2 linked regions of the Anolis sagrei genome follow. The protein of the gene in region 1 purifies or fractionates together with the protein of each later gene. This does not show direct contact. Links are inferred from orthologs where the notes say so. Each region holds a gene or a part of one and is shown on either strand. Other genes may lie near its edges.

Region 1 (7,846 bases):
CATATATAAGGTGGATTTATGAAGCTTATAAGCCTGATTTATGAATATATAATATATGTTTGTATATAAGGCGGATTTATGAAGCTTATAAGCCTGATTTACGAATATATACGAATATATCTATATATATAGATATATTCGTATATAAGGCGGATTTATGAAGCCTATAAGCCTGATTTATGAATATATACGTATATATATATGTATATATATATATATATATGTTCGTATATAAGGCGGATTTATGAAGCTTATAAGCCTGATTTACAAATATATACAAATATATATCTATATATATATATTCGTATATAAGGTGGATTTATGAAGCCTATAAGCCTGATTTACGAATATATACAAATATATATCTATATATATATATATTCGTATATAAGGCGGATTTATGAAGCCTAAGCGCCTGATTTACGAATATATAGGAATATATATATGTATATATATATATGTTCATATATAAGGTGGATTTATGAAGCTTATAAGCCTGATTTATGAATATATAATATATGTTTGTATATAAGGCGGATTTATGATGCTTATAAGCCTGATTTACGAATATATACGAATATATATTATATATTCATATATAAGGCGGATTTATGAAGCCTATAAGCCTGATTTATGAAGCCTGTTTTCTAAAGATTTCCAGGAAATTGAATGTTGTGTGTGTATTATATATATATATATATATATATATATATATATACACACACACACGCCACGCCATTGGATATATATATATATATATATATATATATATATGATACACACACACACTTATTTATTTATTTATTTACAAGTTTTGTATACCGACCTTCTCACCTCTCTTGACCGGTTTCCAACCATAATATCACATACAGTCAATAAAACATCAAAATACATATTACAGTAAAACATTAAAAAAGCAATTACATTCAATAACTACAATGGTCAGTCGTCACACTAAAATCGTTGTTCATCATCCTCCATCCATATCTCAGTGTGCTGTCGCACGCTGGGCCTGTGCATTAGACTGTACACAGGACATAAATTCTGTGTGCCCAACGGGACGCCGGGGCTGCCTCAGATTAGAGGCCCTTAGATTCCCCCAAACAGAGTCTTTAGAAGGCTTAAAGTAAGTCCAACAAAGTTCTTTTATTAAGGAACAAACAGGTACTTTAACGGTTTTCTTAACAGTCTATAGGCTCTTTCAATCTTGTTCACTGGGAACAGGCACTATCTTCATAACTGTATACTAACTAATGGGGAAATGCTTAACTTCTAATCTGGGCAGTCTGTACTTGCCTCTGTTGACGTGGAGCCCCTGCACCCGGTACCAACTGCGTCTGGCTTCCGCGAGCGACCCTTGCCTCAACAGAGCTTTGTAGACCTCCAGGGAAAAAGAAGGAGTTCAGGTTGCTGTGATGGCCGGCTGGAGTCCCTCAGCCAAGCTGTGGCTGTATGTCTCCTGGGCAAGCCGTAGGGCTGTATAACCCCGGCCAAGCTGTAAAAGACGAAGCTTTTCTACAGGAGCCACTTCGTTCTATGTCCTGTGCGAAAGGCTTCTCTGTGAGAACTAACTCAAAATGGCTCCTGTTCCCTCCAAAACTCAAAAAGGGGCGGGACCAGGGAACCTAACTATTATTGACAGGTGGCTTGCCCTATGATTGCAGCCAAAAGGAGGCTGTCCAGACCTTGAATCGGTACTTGGCTGCTGTGTCGGACTGGATGAGAGCTAACAAATTGAAATTGAATCCAGACAAGACAGAGGTCCTACTGGTCAATCGTAAGGCCGAACAGGGTATAGGGTTACAGCCTGTGTTAGACGGGGTTACACTCCCCCTGAAGATGCAGGTTCGCAGCTTGGGAGGGATCCTGGACTCATCGCTGAGCCTGGAGCCCCAGGTCTCAGCAGTGGCCGGGAAAACTTTTGCACAATTAAAACTTGTGCACCAGTTGCGCCCGTACCTTGGGAAGTCGGATCTGGCCACAGTGGTCCATGCTCTTGTCACATCCTGACTAGATTACTGCAACGCACTCTATGTGGGGTTGCCTTTGAAGACTGCTCGGAAACTCCAACTAGTCCAACGGGAGGCAGCCAGATTGCTCACCGGAGCGGCGTACAGGGAGCATCCCACCCCCCTGTTGCGTCAGCTCCACTGGCTGCCGATCCAATTCCGAGCACAATTCAAGGTGCTGGTTTTGACCTACAAAACCCTATACGGTTCCGGCCCAGTGTATCTGTCCGAACGGATCTCCCTCTACATCCCACCTCAGAGTTTAAGATCTTCTGGGGAGGCCCTGCTCTCGACCCCACCACTGTCACAAGTGAGATTGGCGGGGACGAGGAGCAGGGCCTTCTCAGTGGTGGCCCCCCACCTGTGGAACTCACTCCCCGGGGAGATCAGATCAGCGACTTCCCTTCTCTCATTCAGGAAAAAGCTGAAAACCTGGATGTGGGACCAGGCTTTTGGAAACTCTGGCAGCTAAAAAGAAAGACCATAATGATGGGCAAATAATGACGAAACCTATTGGACTTATGGAACTCGAAACACTGACCATGAGATTGTTTATTGTTGTGCTATTGTGTTATATATTGATGTTTTTAATCTGTTAATTGCTTAATTATGGTAATCGTTTTATATATGTATGTATTTGGATAAGGGCATCGAATTGTGCCTTCTTTTTGTAAGCCGCCCTGAGTCCCCCCTCGGGGGTGAGAAGGGCGGGGTCTAAGTAGCAGAAATAAATAAATAAATAAATAAAAGAAGCCACCTATCTGCAGGGTCCCTGAAACTTAGGACTGCAATAAACATTAAATGCAAAAGCAAACAGAAATGGAGCTCCTGGCACAGCTGTACCAGCACACTCAGGGTATTGGCTCACTCGTCGAATGCCTGTCTTTCTGAAAGTCAGGATAGACGGGGTGGTTCTGATCTCCGGTGGGAGAGAATTCCAGAGTCGAGGGGCCACCACCGAGAAGCTTGCCATCTATCGGACAGGTGGCAAGCTATTCAACCTCAGCAGACTGAAAGCCAAAACCAAGGTTACAACAACAGCTGTTATAGAACTCCAGTATGCTGATGACAATGTCGTCTGTGCGCATTCAGAAGAAGATCTACAAGCCACTCTAAACACCTTCGCAGAAGCATACGAGAAGCTCGGCCTGTCACTGAACATTGAGAAAACCAAGGTGCTGTTCTAGCAGTCACCAGCCAACCCCTCTCCAATGCCAGAGATACAGCTTAATGGTGTAACATTAGAAAATGTGGACCATTTCCGCTCCCTTGGCAGCCACCTCTCCACCAAAGTCAACATCGACGCTGAAATACAACACCGCCTGAGCTCTGCGAGTGCAGCATTTTCCCGAATGAAGCAGAGAGTGTTTGAGGACCGGGACATCCGTAGGGATACTAAGGTGCTTGTCTATAAAGCTATTGTCCTCCCAACCCTGCTCTATGCCTGTGAGACGTGGACTGTCTACAGACGTCACATGCAGCTCCTGGAACGTTTCCATCAGCGCTGCCTCCGGAAAATCCTGCAAATCTCCTGGGAAGACAAGCGGACAAACGTCAGCGTGCTGGAAGAAGCAAAGACCACCAGCATTGAAGCGATGGTCCTCCGCCATCAACTCCGCTGGACCGGCCACGTTGTCTGGATGCCCGACCACCGTCTCCCAAAGCAGTTGCTCTACTCCGAACTCAAGAACTGAAAACGGGATGTTGGTGGACAGGAAAAGAGATTGAAAGATGGGCTCAAAGCCAACCTTAAAAACTCTGGCATAGACACTGAGAATTGGGAAGCCCTGGCCCTTGAGCGCTCCAGCTGGAGGTCAGCTGTGACCAGCAGTGCTGCAGAATTTGAGGAGGCACAACTGGAGGGTGAGAGAGAGAAACGTGCCAGGAGGAAAGCGCGTCAAGCCAACCTCGACCGGGACCGCCTTCCACCTGGAACCCAATGCCCTCCTCACTGCGGAAGAAGATGCAGAGCAAGAATAGGGCTCCACAGCCACATACGGACCCACAAGGAAACCCATGATGGAAGACCATCTTACTCGTCCAACGAGGGATCGCCTAAGTAAGTAAGTAAGTAAGTACCGAGAAGGCCCTGTCCCTCGTCCCCACCAGACGCGCTTGCGAGGCAGGTGGGACCAAGAGCAGGGCCTCTCCAGATGATCTTAATAATCTTGATGGTTCATAGGGGAGAATAGGTTTGGAGAGGTAAATAGGGCTGGGTATATATGGTATATATATATATATATATGGATAAATCAGGTGCATATTTATCCAACTAGCTCAAGAGGCCTTCCTTGGTGGCAGAAAAGTTATATTAATACATTACAATATTGCTATTATTACCCTTGACCCAAAATCAACAAGGAATGGCTCAGATCTAGAGTGATTCCCAAGCCTTTGGCCTCTAATTGTTTTGGACTACGATTCCCAGAATTCCTGCCCATTGATCTAACGCAGCTGAGGCTTCTGGGAGTTGGAGTCCGAAAGAGCCAAAGTTGTGCCCCATTCATTGAGGCGAAAGGACGGACTGGTGTTTTCCTCTGCTCCCGCCTCGAGACAACCGCGCTGTCATCCCATTGGCCGGATTCACAAACTCCCTCAGAGCCCTGCCTTCCGATTGGGCAGCGAGGACGTGAAGCAACCAATCCGAACCGGGAGGCGGGTTCTTTCCACCTTTTCCCCGCCTCCTCAGCGCTGAGGGCAAAAAAATAAAAGTGCTTTCCCTCAATGTCGGTCCGTGATTGGATGCCATCCGGAAGGCGGGGCTTAAGGAGCGCGAGGCCATTGGATCCCGCCGGTGGAGGCTCCTCCCCGTTGCCTCTTCCCGCCGCGGGGCAGGACGGGAAGAGAAAGGGCCGCGACGTGAGCGCGCGACTCCGGCCGCCATTTTGTTTCGGAGCGAGCGGAGAAGGAAGGAAGGAAGGAAGGGAGAGCGGCTCAGGAGACCGAGGAAGCGAGGGAAGGCAAAGAAGGCAGGCCCCGGCACGCTCGAGGTAAGCCCGGCCTCAGGGAGCGCCTCCCCCGCCTTCTGGAGGTACCACAGCCCGGTCTGGGAGTCAATCGAGGCCCCGGCGGGAGTGCAGGCCCAGGCCTCGCTCGCGGAAGCGCCTCCCGGGCGGGTTATTCGCCCTCCAGGGGGGTTGGACTACAACTCCCACCATTCCTAACAGCCGGTAGGCTGTTAGGAATGGTGGGAGTTGGAGTCCAAACCCCCCTGGAGGGCCCAAGTTGGAAGGGAAGGGAACAGGTCCCGAATTACGAACCAGGACGGCCCAGTAAGTGTTGGGATCTCGTATACAGGGGCATTTCTTCAGAACAGCTACAAATATCCATATCTATCTATCTCCATCTGTATGTGTGCCTGTATATTTATGTATATATACATATATCTATGTATATTCATATGTGTGTCAGGACAGCTCCAGCAACAAATACCCATATCTATCTCCATATGTATGTGTGTCTGTATATTTATGTATGTATATATATCCATATGCCTGGGTGTATCCATATGTCTGTATATATCCATGTATATATGTGTGTGTGTCTGTATATTTATGAATATATACATATATGTATATATATTCATATGTGCCTGTGTGTATCCACATGTCTGTATATATCTGTGTATATATGTGTGTGTGTGTCTGTATATTTATATATACATATATATATATATATATATATATTCATATGTGTGTGTGTATCCATATGCCTGTGTTTATCCATATGTCTATATATCCATGTATATATGTGTGTGTCTGTATATTTATGTATATACGTATATATATTCATATGTGTGTATGTATATCCATATGCCTGTGTGTATCCATATGTCTGTATATATCCGTGTATATATGTGTGTGTGTCTATATGTGTATATATATATGTGTGTATGTATATATATATACACACACACACATGCACACATGTATGTGTGTCTGTATATTTATGTATATATACATATATGTATATTCATGTGTGTGTGTTTATCCATATGCCTGGGTGTATCCATATGTCTGTATATATCCATGTATATATATGCGTGTGTGTATGTATGTATGTGTGTATGTATGTTTATGTATATATACATATATGTATATTCATGTGTGTGTGTGTTTATCCATATGCCTGTGTGTATCCATATGTCTGTATATATCCATGTACGTGTGTGTGTGTGTATGTATATATACACACATATGTATGTGTGTCTGTATATTTATGTATATATACATATATGTATATTCATGTGTGTGTGTGTATATCCATATGCCTGTGTGTATCCATATGTCTGCATATATCCATGTATATGTGTGTGTGTACACACACACACACACACACACACACACATAAACATGGATATACACATATACAGAGTCCACCTGGGGAGATAGGGTGGGTTACAAATAAAGTTGATGTCCAATATATACACAATCCTATAATCATAATAATAAAACTTTATTTATACCCCCATACCTATCTGTCTATCTATCTCCATATGTATGTGTGTCTGTATATATGTGTGTATATTTACGTATATATACATATATTCATATGTGTGTGTGTATATCCATATGCCTGTGTGTATCCATGTTTGTATATATCCATTTACGTGTGGGTGTATGTATGTATATATTATACACACACCAGTTGTACCCGCCACGCGTTGCTGTGGCCAACCTTCCCTCTTTCTCTCCTTCTTTCCCTCCTTCCTTCTCTCCCTCTTTCTTTCCTTCTCTTCTTCCTTCTCTACCTTTTTCATTCCTTTCCCCCTTTTCTTTCTCTTCTGCTGTCACTCTTTTCTTCCTTCTCTCCTTCTCTCCTTCTCTCCTTCTTTCTCTACATCTTCCCCCTTCCTTCCTTCCTTCCCTCTTTCCCTTTTTTCTTTCCTTCTCTCCTTCCTTCCTTCTCTAACTTCCCTTCCTTCCCCCTTTTTCTTTCCCTCCCTCTTTCTCTTCTTCCTTCCTTCACTCCCACTTTCCTTCCTTCCTGCCTGCTTCTCCTTCTCTTCTTCCTTCCTTCTCTATCTCTCTTTCCTTCCCCATTTTTCTTTATCTTCTGTCTCTCTTTTCTTCCTTCTCTCTTTCCTTCTTTCCTTCCCTCCTTCTTTATTATTAATATGTTGTATTACATTATAATATTATCAATATTATATGTATATCCAATATATTGTATTGTATATTATACGCACAGTGCAGGAGGCAAGATGGAACTGCCTTCATGGCCCCTCTCTTCATTCTGATCTCAGAGCAGCAGTTGGTCCAATATATATCCATCCATATATTTTTAACATTCATATATACATATATATATCCATATGTGTATATATACCAATATATATATCCCTATATGCCCATACACATATATCCTTCCATATATATTTATCTCAATGTTTGTGTGTGTGTATCTCTCTCTCTCTCTCTGGATAGCATAGGGAAGTGTGGACACCCCTGTGGTGTTTCCTTTGTTGTCTCTGCCCCTGTTTGGAAGATTTCACCGCATTTTCTGTCTATGTGAGAATTGGATTTTGGAAACTCTGGCTTGTTTTGGAGACAGGATTGGGGATAAAGCTTCAGGAGGAGGAAGCAAGCTTGTTTTCTCCTTCCCTGGAGACTAGGACATGGAACAATGGCTTCAAACTACAAGAAAAGAGATTCCATCTGAACATTAGGAAGAACTTCCTGACTGTGAGAGCCGTTCAGCAGTGGAACTCTCTGCCCCGGAGTGCGGTGGAGGCTCCTTCTTTGGAAGCATTTAAACAGAGGCTGGATGGCCATCTGTCAGGGGTACTTTAAATACAGGGGGTTTATTTATTATTTACTTTATTTCTATACCACTTT
Region 2 (7,514 bases), on another chromosome or scaffold:
TTATATCCTATTTTTGGTGATTTAGAGAACCCAGTTGTGACATTTATTTTCAAATCTTTTAGATTTTTCAAAGCATTTACTTGTGTAACTTTCTAATGCCAGATATTGCCAGTATTCGCAGAATTTTAAAACTGCTCCAATTTGAAAAGGCAAATACCAGTATTCCTGCATTTTGTTTCCAAAGTGGGGAGCTATAATAAATCTACATATCCCAGAATTATTTTCACAATGTGCATACATAACACCAAACTCCACTGGAAATAATCCAACAAACAATACATTCTAACCACACAACCATTAAAATAATCTAATACAGATTCTTTAGGAGAAAAATATGGTAAATGCATCAGTGTACTGAATAATTTAAAAGGGAAATCAGTCATATACAATTATTACAAATGAGAGCTTTTGATTTCAGTGATATTAACATTAAACCAATTCCTCTAGAATGTTAATATAAAATAAAAAAGCTAAATTGACAAAGAATAATGGCCACTGAAGTATATTATACAGAATACAAGGCTCAAAATATGAGCTTTCTTCTTTTTTGAACATCAAGTTATATTTTCTCCCATTTACTATGGTTTCAAACAGTCCTTCTGTAGAAATAAAACAGACTTAAATCTAAATAAATTTATAAACCTGTAAGCAAGGACACAATAAAGTGAGTGGAAATTATTTCCTTGTCTCAAATGGTTGGCTTTCCAAGGCTATCCCTGCTTCTAAAACCTTTTCTCTTTTCATTTCCTCTCTTTACTGGGTAAGAGAACTACCAGCTGTGCGATAAGACGACCTTTAAATGATTGCTGGATCAGCACTGGGTGGGGATAAGGAAAGATCAAGGGCAAACAAAGGTATTTACAAATGGAACACATATGTACAGATGATCTGATTGGGGGAGCTATAGGTAACTACAAAAATCATTTATTAATCCATCTGTTTGACCTCTCCAGCAATGCAAGTAAAAATAATACCTTTCAAAGATGCTGGAAGTTATTATTGTCACCCTTACTCTTTCCCTTCCCTAGTGTGGAAAAAGGTCACAAAACAAAATAATCTTAAACATGTCAAAATATTTCCCACACTGAGCAAGGCCCCCCTTTTTAAGGAATTAAACCTGTTAATTGCATTAATCATGGCAGTGGTGACGCAGCGAGGGGGGCCAGGGAAACGAGGAGGGACCTCAAGCAGAGTCCACAGTGTTACATAACCGGGCTGTTGGGTCTCATTAGAGTGCTGCTCACAGCTTCAGGGGAAAGAGAAAAGGGGCATGTCTAGGAGGGCCTCTCTCTCCTCTTCCACCTCCCGAACCAGGCCCAATCCGGATTATTTCATCACACGAGAGAAAGAATCCACTTTAAATCCGGTTTCGGCCTCCAGCAGAATTCTGGGGTTTGTAGTTTAGTGAGGCTGTTAAAGGCTCATATCTAAATAATTCTGCAGGAGGAAGAAACCAGATTTAAAGTGGATCCATTCTCTAGTGCAGGCATGGGCAAACTTGGGCCCTCCGGGTGTTTTGGACTTCAACTCCCACAATTGCTAACAGCCTACCAGCTGTTAGGAATTGTGGGAGTTGAAGTCCAAAACACCCGGAGGGCCCAAGTTTGCTCATGCCTGCTCTAGTGTGATGGGGAGAGTCTACCCATTGACTAATTGACTAATCAATAAAGAATTGTTGTTATTGTCTACCTCATCACACTAGATCAGTGGTTCTCAACCTGTGGGTCCCCAGGCGTTTTGGCCTACAACTCCCACAAATCCCAGCCAGTTTACCAGCTGTTAGGATTTCTGGGAGTTGAAGGCCAAAACATCTGGGGACCCACAGGTTGAAAACCTCTGCATTAGATAATGAATCCCACTAGTGCTGCTCAGCTTCAGGGGAAAAAGAAAAAGAGGCCTGTCTAGGAGGGCATCCCTCTCTTTCTCCTCAGAAATCAGGCCCAATCCTCCCCTCTCCTGAAGGCTGAGGCCTCCCCCTAGATCGCCTTCGGCACAAGAGGAGCAGTGTTTACCTCCCTAGATCAGGGACGCTGTGTTTACCTTATTCGCCCCCCTTCTTTCAAAATCCTTTCTCAGTTTCTCAGAAGAGAGGGGGGCTTTGAGAGGCAGTGCCCCTTCCTCTCAGGGCTAGCTAGACATCCCCACCTTTGGAGGCGTCTTCCCCATCTTGTCAATCCACCAGCTCACCAGTTAAGCCCTCCCTCTCTGTCCTCCGTGGGGCTGTGGCCACCCATCCCCCCCCCTCCTCCTTTCCTCCTTGGCCAACTCGCCTCCCTGACAGGCTCCTCCGCCGCCCCTCCCTCCCTCCCTCCGCCATCCAAGTGGCCGCCCTCCTCCTCCTCCTCCTCCGGGGGAGGGGCTGCGCGAGGCCCCTGGAGCAGCCCCGCCCCCTTTTCCCCCTCCATCCCTCCCTCCGAGGAGTTCTATGGGAGGGGGAGAGGCGCGAGCGGGTCCGGCCCAGAGATCGCCTTTCCCTGCCGTGAGAGGAAAGCCTTGGGCCCACGACGTCGCCTCCACACACACACACACACACAGAGAGAGAGGTTTCCCCGCCTCCATTCCCTCCCGTTCTACCAGTCCCCCCTCCTCCTCCAATTCCCCCCTCCCCTCGCAGGGCCGTGTCAACACCCTCAGGCAGCCCCGTCCTGTCAAATCCTTCGGCCGACACCCACAGGCGAGGCCTCCCCGCTCCCTTCCTTCCCCCACCCCCGCCCCTCACTCAATTCGAACCCTCGCCCGCTGTGTGAGTCTGAGGGGAGCCCAAGAAGGGGAAAGGGTGAGGTAAGCCGCCTCCATCATCCCCATCTCCAGGCCGCCCCCCCCTTCTCCCTCTCTCTCTCGCGACACTCACCCGGGGCCTATATAGTGCAAAGGAGAGGGAGGCTCAGCGTCGGAACCCCATAACCCAGCGAGCCGGGGTGGAGAAAAAAGGGGTCGACTGCGCTTCTCACGCCCCGGGACCAGAGACAGCGCGCTCCGCCTCAGCAGCTGTGAGACGCCTTCTTGTAGCGCCCGAGCCTCCGCCGCGCCCCTATATATGCCCTCTCACGCCCCGCCCCCTCCGGGCCCCGCCCCTAGGCCTCGTCAGCCCCACCCACTCGCCTGCCAATCGTTCGGCCCCTGTCCTAGTCCCTGCTCCCCATTGGCCTCTCTATCCTGCCAATAAGACTCATTCCCCGCCTCCCCCGCGTCCCCCCCTCGCGCACCTGCTCCGAGCCCCTCCCACCGAGCCCCCCCCCTTCCCTTTCTTCATCCTCCTGCTTCCAGGGGGTTCGTGTGGTGCTCTTTCAAGGCGCAAAGGACAAAATGCTGAGGCCTTCCTTCCTCCTCCCTCCCTAGGAGCTGCTTGCGTACTTTCTGAAAAAGGAATGGGGAAAACGCCTACTGTGTCCACCATGGCCCCGCCCGTTTATAAGGGACAGCTGGCTTAAGCCGTGCCCTGAATCTCTGCTGCTAAGACTGCTCCCTCAGAGCACATATTTCCTGGGTCTCCTCGCAACCCCCTTCCGTCGCCATATTGCTCCCCCCCGCCGCCGGCTCCCCTTCACGCCCGGCGCCAGGGAGCATTAGCCCTTCTCGACATCCCCCCACCCCACCCCCTGCTGCTAAGGGGCTTTCGGTGACGTCAACCCCTACGTCATTCCAGGAACCACGCCCCTCCCTCCACTCCCTTCTCCCTCACCGCGTGAAGACTACGTCTCCCAGAATGCTCTCTGCTCTACTACGTCATCGGGGGGAGTGATTCGGAATCCTGTCAGCAGAGAGGCGCTCAGGCGGAGGGGAGTGCTTGCTCACGTTATGCCCCACCCCTTTCTGCAGCCAAAGGACGGAGACAGGAGGGCAGCCTGGAAGGCATTTCCTGCTTCTTGTATTATATCCTCATGTGTCAAGGCCCCTTGGCCGAATGCCGCCCACCATGACATTTGGAGGCCCCGGTGGCGCAGTGGGTTAAAAGGCAGGATTACTGACCGTCCACGGTTCGAATCTGAGGGGAGCGGGTTGAGCTCCCTCTGCCAGCTCCAGCTCCCCATACGGGGACACAAGAGAAGCCTCTCCCGCAAGGAGGGTAAAACATCAAAACATCCGGCCCCCTGGGCAACCTCCTTGTAGACTGCCAATTCTCTCACACCAGAAGCGACTTGGAAGTTTCTCAAGTCACTCCTGACACACATAAAAATGTCATTTTACGTGACTCTCCGAGTACTGACTAAATAATAAATTGCAGCCTTCCAGATGATACTGTATCACAATTCCCATCAGCACTAGTCACCGTGTGATGGGAGTTGTGATACAGTATAATCTGGAAGGCTGCAATTTATTATTTAGTCAGGAGAGAGGGGTCTGAATTGAGACACAAGGCTTGCGGATATGAGGCCTGACCTTAAAATGTCCTTGAACCTTTTCCCCAACCTCAGAGCCCACCAGTGCTGTTTGGACTGCGGTTTCCATTATCCCCAGTCGCACAGCGGATCATTAAGAGTGAGTTGTTGTTCTGGGAGACCAAACAGTAAAAACTAAAGAGCACCGACCACTATGTACCCACGGATTCAAGAACCCTTTGAAGGCAACCAAGAGGCTCCCCAAACTACAACTCCCAGGATTCCATAGGAGTGAGCCAAGGAGTGACCAGCGACCTATGGCGCCTCTTCCTCCCTCCCTACGTGTAGTAGCCCGCCCTACAGTGGCGCAGTGGGTTAAACCCTTGTGCTGGCAGGACTGAAGACGGACAGCTCACAAGTTCGAATCTGGGGAGAGCACGGGTGAGCTCCCTCTGTCAGCTCCAGCTCCCCATGCAGGGACGTGAGAAAAGCCTCCCACAAGGATGGTAAAACCTCAAAACCTCCGGGGCTCCCCTGGGCAACATCCTTGCAGACGGCCAATTCTCTCACACCAGAAGCGACTTGCAGTTTCTCACGGAAAAAAGAAGCCTGCCCTGCCTCTCAGCCACTCTCGGATCCCTCCCCGCTGTCACGAGGGTGGGGAGCATTTCCCCGAGGAGGAGGAGGAGGAGGAGGGAAGCCAAGCACAACAAACTTACTACAAGACATAGTGTATAATATCTTGGTACTCCTTGCGTTTTGCCTTGCTGCAGGAGTAGAACAAAACTGCACTGGGCAACCAATCCAAGGCCAATGAACAAGAGCACGGTAGCACTGAGGAGTTGCCAAAGAGAAGTTGCCTATTTGTTGTGTTGGATGCTCTGCGTTCCTGTGATCCTCCCTCCCTCTCTCTCTCTCTCTGAGGAATCTTGCTCCTCCTCCACCAAATGGACTCCCCTTCTGGTGTTGTCTCTATTCTTTTGAAGGAGGAGAGGATCGGTGCCCCCTTGTTTTGGGTTTGAAGGGAAAATCACCTGCTGTGTCTAATAATAATAATAATAATACAACAACATCAACAACAACAACATGTCTGGTAGGAAAGGAAACAAGCACAGTTGTTATTATTGAGATCCAGCTTATTATTATTTTTTCTCCTACTACACAAGGAGACTAATGGGGAGGGCACTAGGGGGAAGGGGGGAGAGGCTCTGAGTAATACCCCAGAGTTATCAGTTCGCCCCGCCCCCCTCCGCCATTGGCTCCCCAAATCTGTCAATCTTAAAAAGCTCTCCAACCTGCGTCTGGTGTTTCACGAGGGCGGAGCCAATAGAAGGTGGGAGGAGGGCAAAAAACAGGGAGGGAGGGAAGGAGGAGGAGGAGGAGGGGGGGGGGGGAAGAAGGGAACGCGAAACGTCATTGCCTTGCGCGCGTGCCCGTGCCTCCCTCTTCTTGACGGGAGCGCGCACGCTTTCCAGCTGGCTGCAGGAGGAGTGAAGGAAGAAGTCCTGTGGAGTCAGTGCAGTCTGACCTCATTTGAACTGCCAAGGCTGGATGCCTTGGTGGGAACCTGGGAGTTGTAGTTTGAGGAAGCCCCAACCCTCTTTGCAGAAAAGGCTTCTAAAACTCCCAGGATTCCATAGCGGTTCAAGGATAGGGTCAAAACTGCGTTAATTCCCCGATATACATCGACCCTGTGTATATTAATGTGCCACCTTCAGGTCTCCTGTCCATTTATGGCAACCCTTATGAGCACAATCCTCAGTTCCTTCCTCTCAAACACAGCCTACAGCACATGGTTTCCCCTGCTGTCTCCCACCCGAGAATTATGTACCTCCTACTGTATATATTTTCTCTATAGAAAATATGCTATATATCATTTGGTAGTATAGAAATATGTGTGTGTGTGTGTGTGTGTGCATATCTAGATTATTCAGATACATGCATAGGTAGAAACAACACATGATTGGCTTCCTAGGCCCCACTCAATTGGCTACTCAGTATTCTGGAGGAATACTTTGCCCTTTTTTGGTGGTAGGGTCAGTTTCAGATTGCAGGATATAGGCAAAACATGAGAGAACACAGAAAAGAAGAGGGTAGGGGTGGCGGACCACCCTTCAAAAGATTTCAGACTAATATGTGGCAGGGACCCCCTGGTTGTGCAGCAGATTAAACTGCTGAGCTGCTGAATTTGCTGACCGAAAGGTTGTTCAACTCTGAGGGGTGGTACTCATCTCCATTTCTAAGCCGGAGAGCCAGCATTGTCCATAGACACCTTCTAGGTCATGTGGCGTGCATGACCGCACGGGGTGCTGTTACCTTCCCACAGAAGCAGTACCTATTGATCTACTCACATTTGTATGTTTTCAAATTGCTAAGTTGACAGAAGTTAGGGCTAATGGAGCTCACCCTGAACCCTGGATTCGAACCACTAACCTTTCGGTCAGTAAGTTCAGCAGCTCGGCGGTTCAGCCCACTGTGCCACCAAGGGGCCCTCTTAAGCTGGGGGGGGGGGGTCACCAAAGTTCCTCAGAAACATATATTTCTGATGGTCTTAGGAACCCTTTTGGCAGAGAAGGCTGAAGATCTCTCCGCCTGTCCTTTTCCTTTTTGGAAACAGATGGTGAATCCTCCTCCCTCCTCCTGCTGTAATTGGCCAGCCTCTCAGCCAAAGGGAGGGCAGTTTCTGAGACTCCAAGTGTGTAGGGGAGAACAGGTGTGTTCAGTGCATGGCAGCGTGATGCGCATCTGCAGGTGAGGGAGAGCATGTGAGGCTGGAGGGAGGCTCATGCCAGCGAGTCCCTTCAAAGCACACTAGAAGGGACTTGCAGCACAAGTGACTTGCAGTTTCTCAAGTTGCTCCTGACACACACACACACACAAAACATACTAAATAGTGTTTTAAAACAAACAAAAATTTTTGAAGGGCCCTTGCTCCAAGGATTTTATTATCAAATAATTGTGGGAAAAGACTGAAAAGGGCAGTAATGTCATTCATTCAGCCAAAGAAAACTATTTTATTAAGTTCTGTGTATGTTTATTATTCAGTGGGAGTTTGTATGTTTATTATTCACAGTGACTAAAGTCAGCTGATGAGCTTGTGGTTGTTGCTGTCATTATTGTGTGTCTCCAAGTCGTTTCTGACTTATGGTGATCCTAAGATAAACCAACCACAGAGTTTCCAAGACAGAGGTGGTT

Evidence for each region. The genes of interacting proteins can lie anywhere in the genome.
Region 2: the proteins of CNOT1 (region 1) and TOB1 purify together in Homo sapiens (co-immunoprecipitation; 3 studies listed by BioGRID and IntAct, counting the BioPlex papers as one, with this or other methods). This does not show direct contact. The link is inferred for Anolis sagrei from reciprocal best matches to the Homo sapiens genes CNOT1 and TOB1.

The regions. Positions count from the first base shown.
Region 1 is NC_090028.1:1,661,140-1,668,985, reverse strand, and holds the start of CNOT1 (CCR4-NOT transcription complex subunit 1), read left to right. Parts: upstream 1-4,838; 5' UTR 4,839-4,999; intron 5,000-7,846.
Region 2 is NC_090022.1:114,706,808-114,714,321, reverse strand, and holds the start of TOB1 (protein Tob1), read right to left. Parts: upstream 3,019-7,514; 5' UTR 2,852-3,018; intron 1-2,851. UniProt on the Homo sapiens protein: Anti-proliferative protein; the function is mediated by association with deadenylase subunits of the CCR4-NOT complex. Mediates CPEB3-accelerated mRNA deadenylation by binding to CPEB3 and recruiting CNOT7 which leads to target mRNA deadenylation and decay.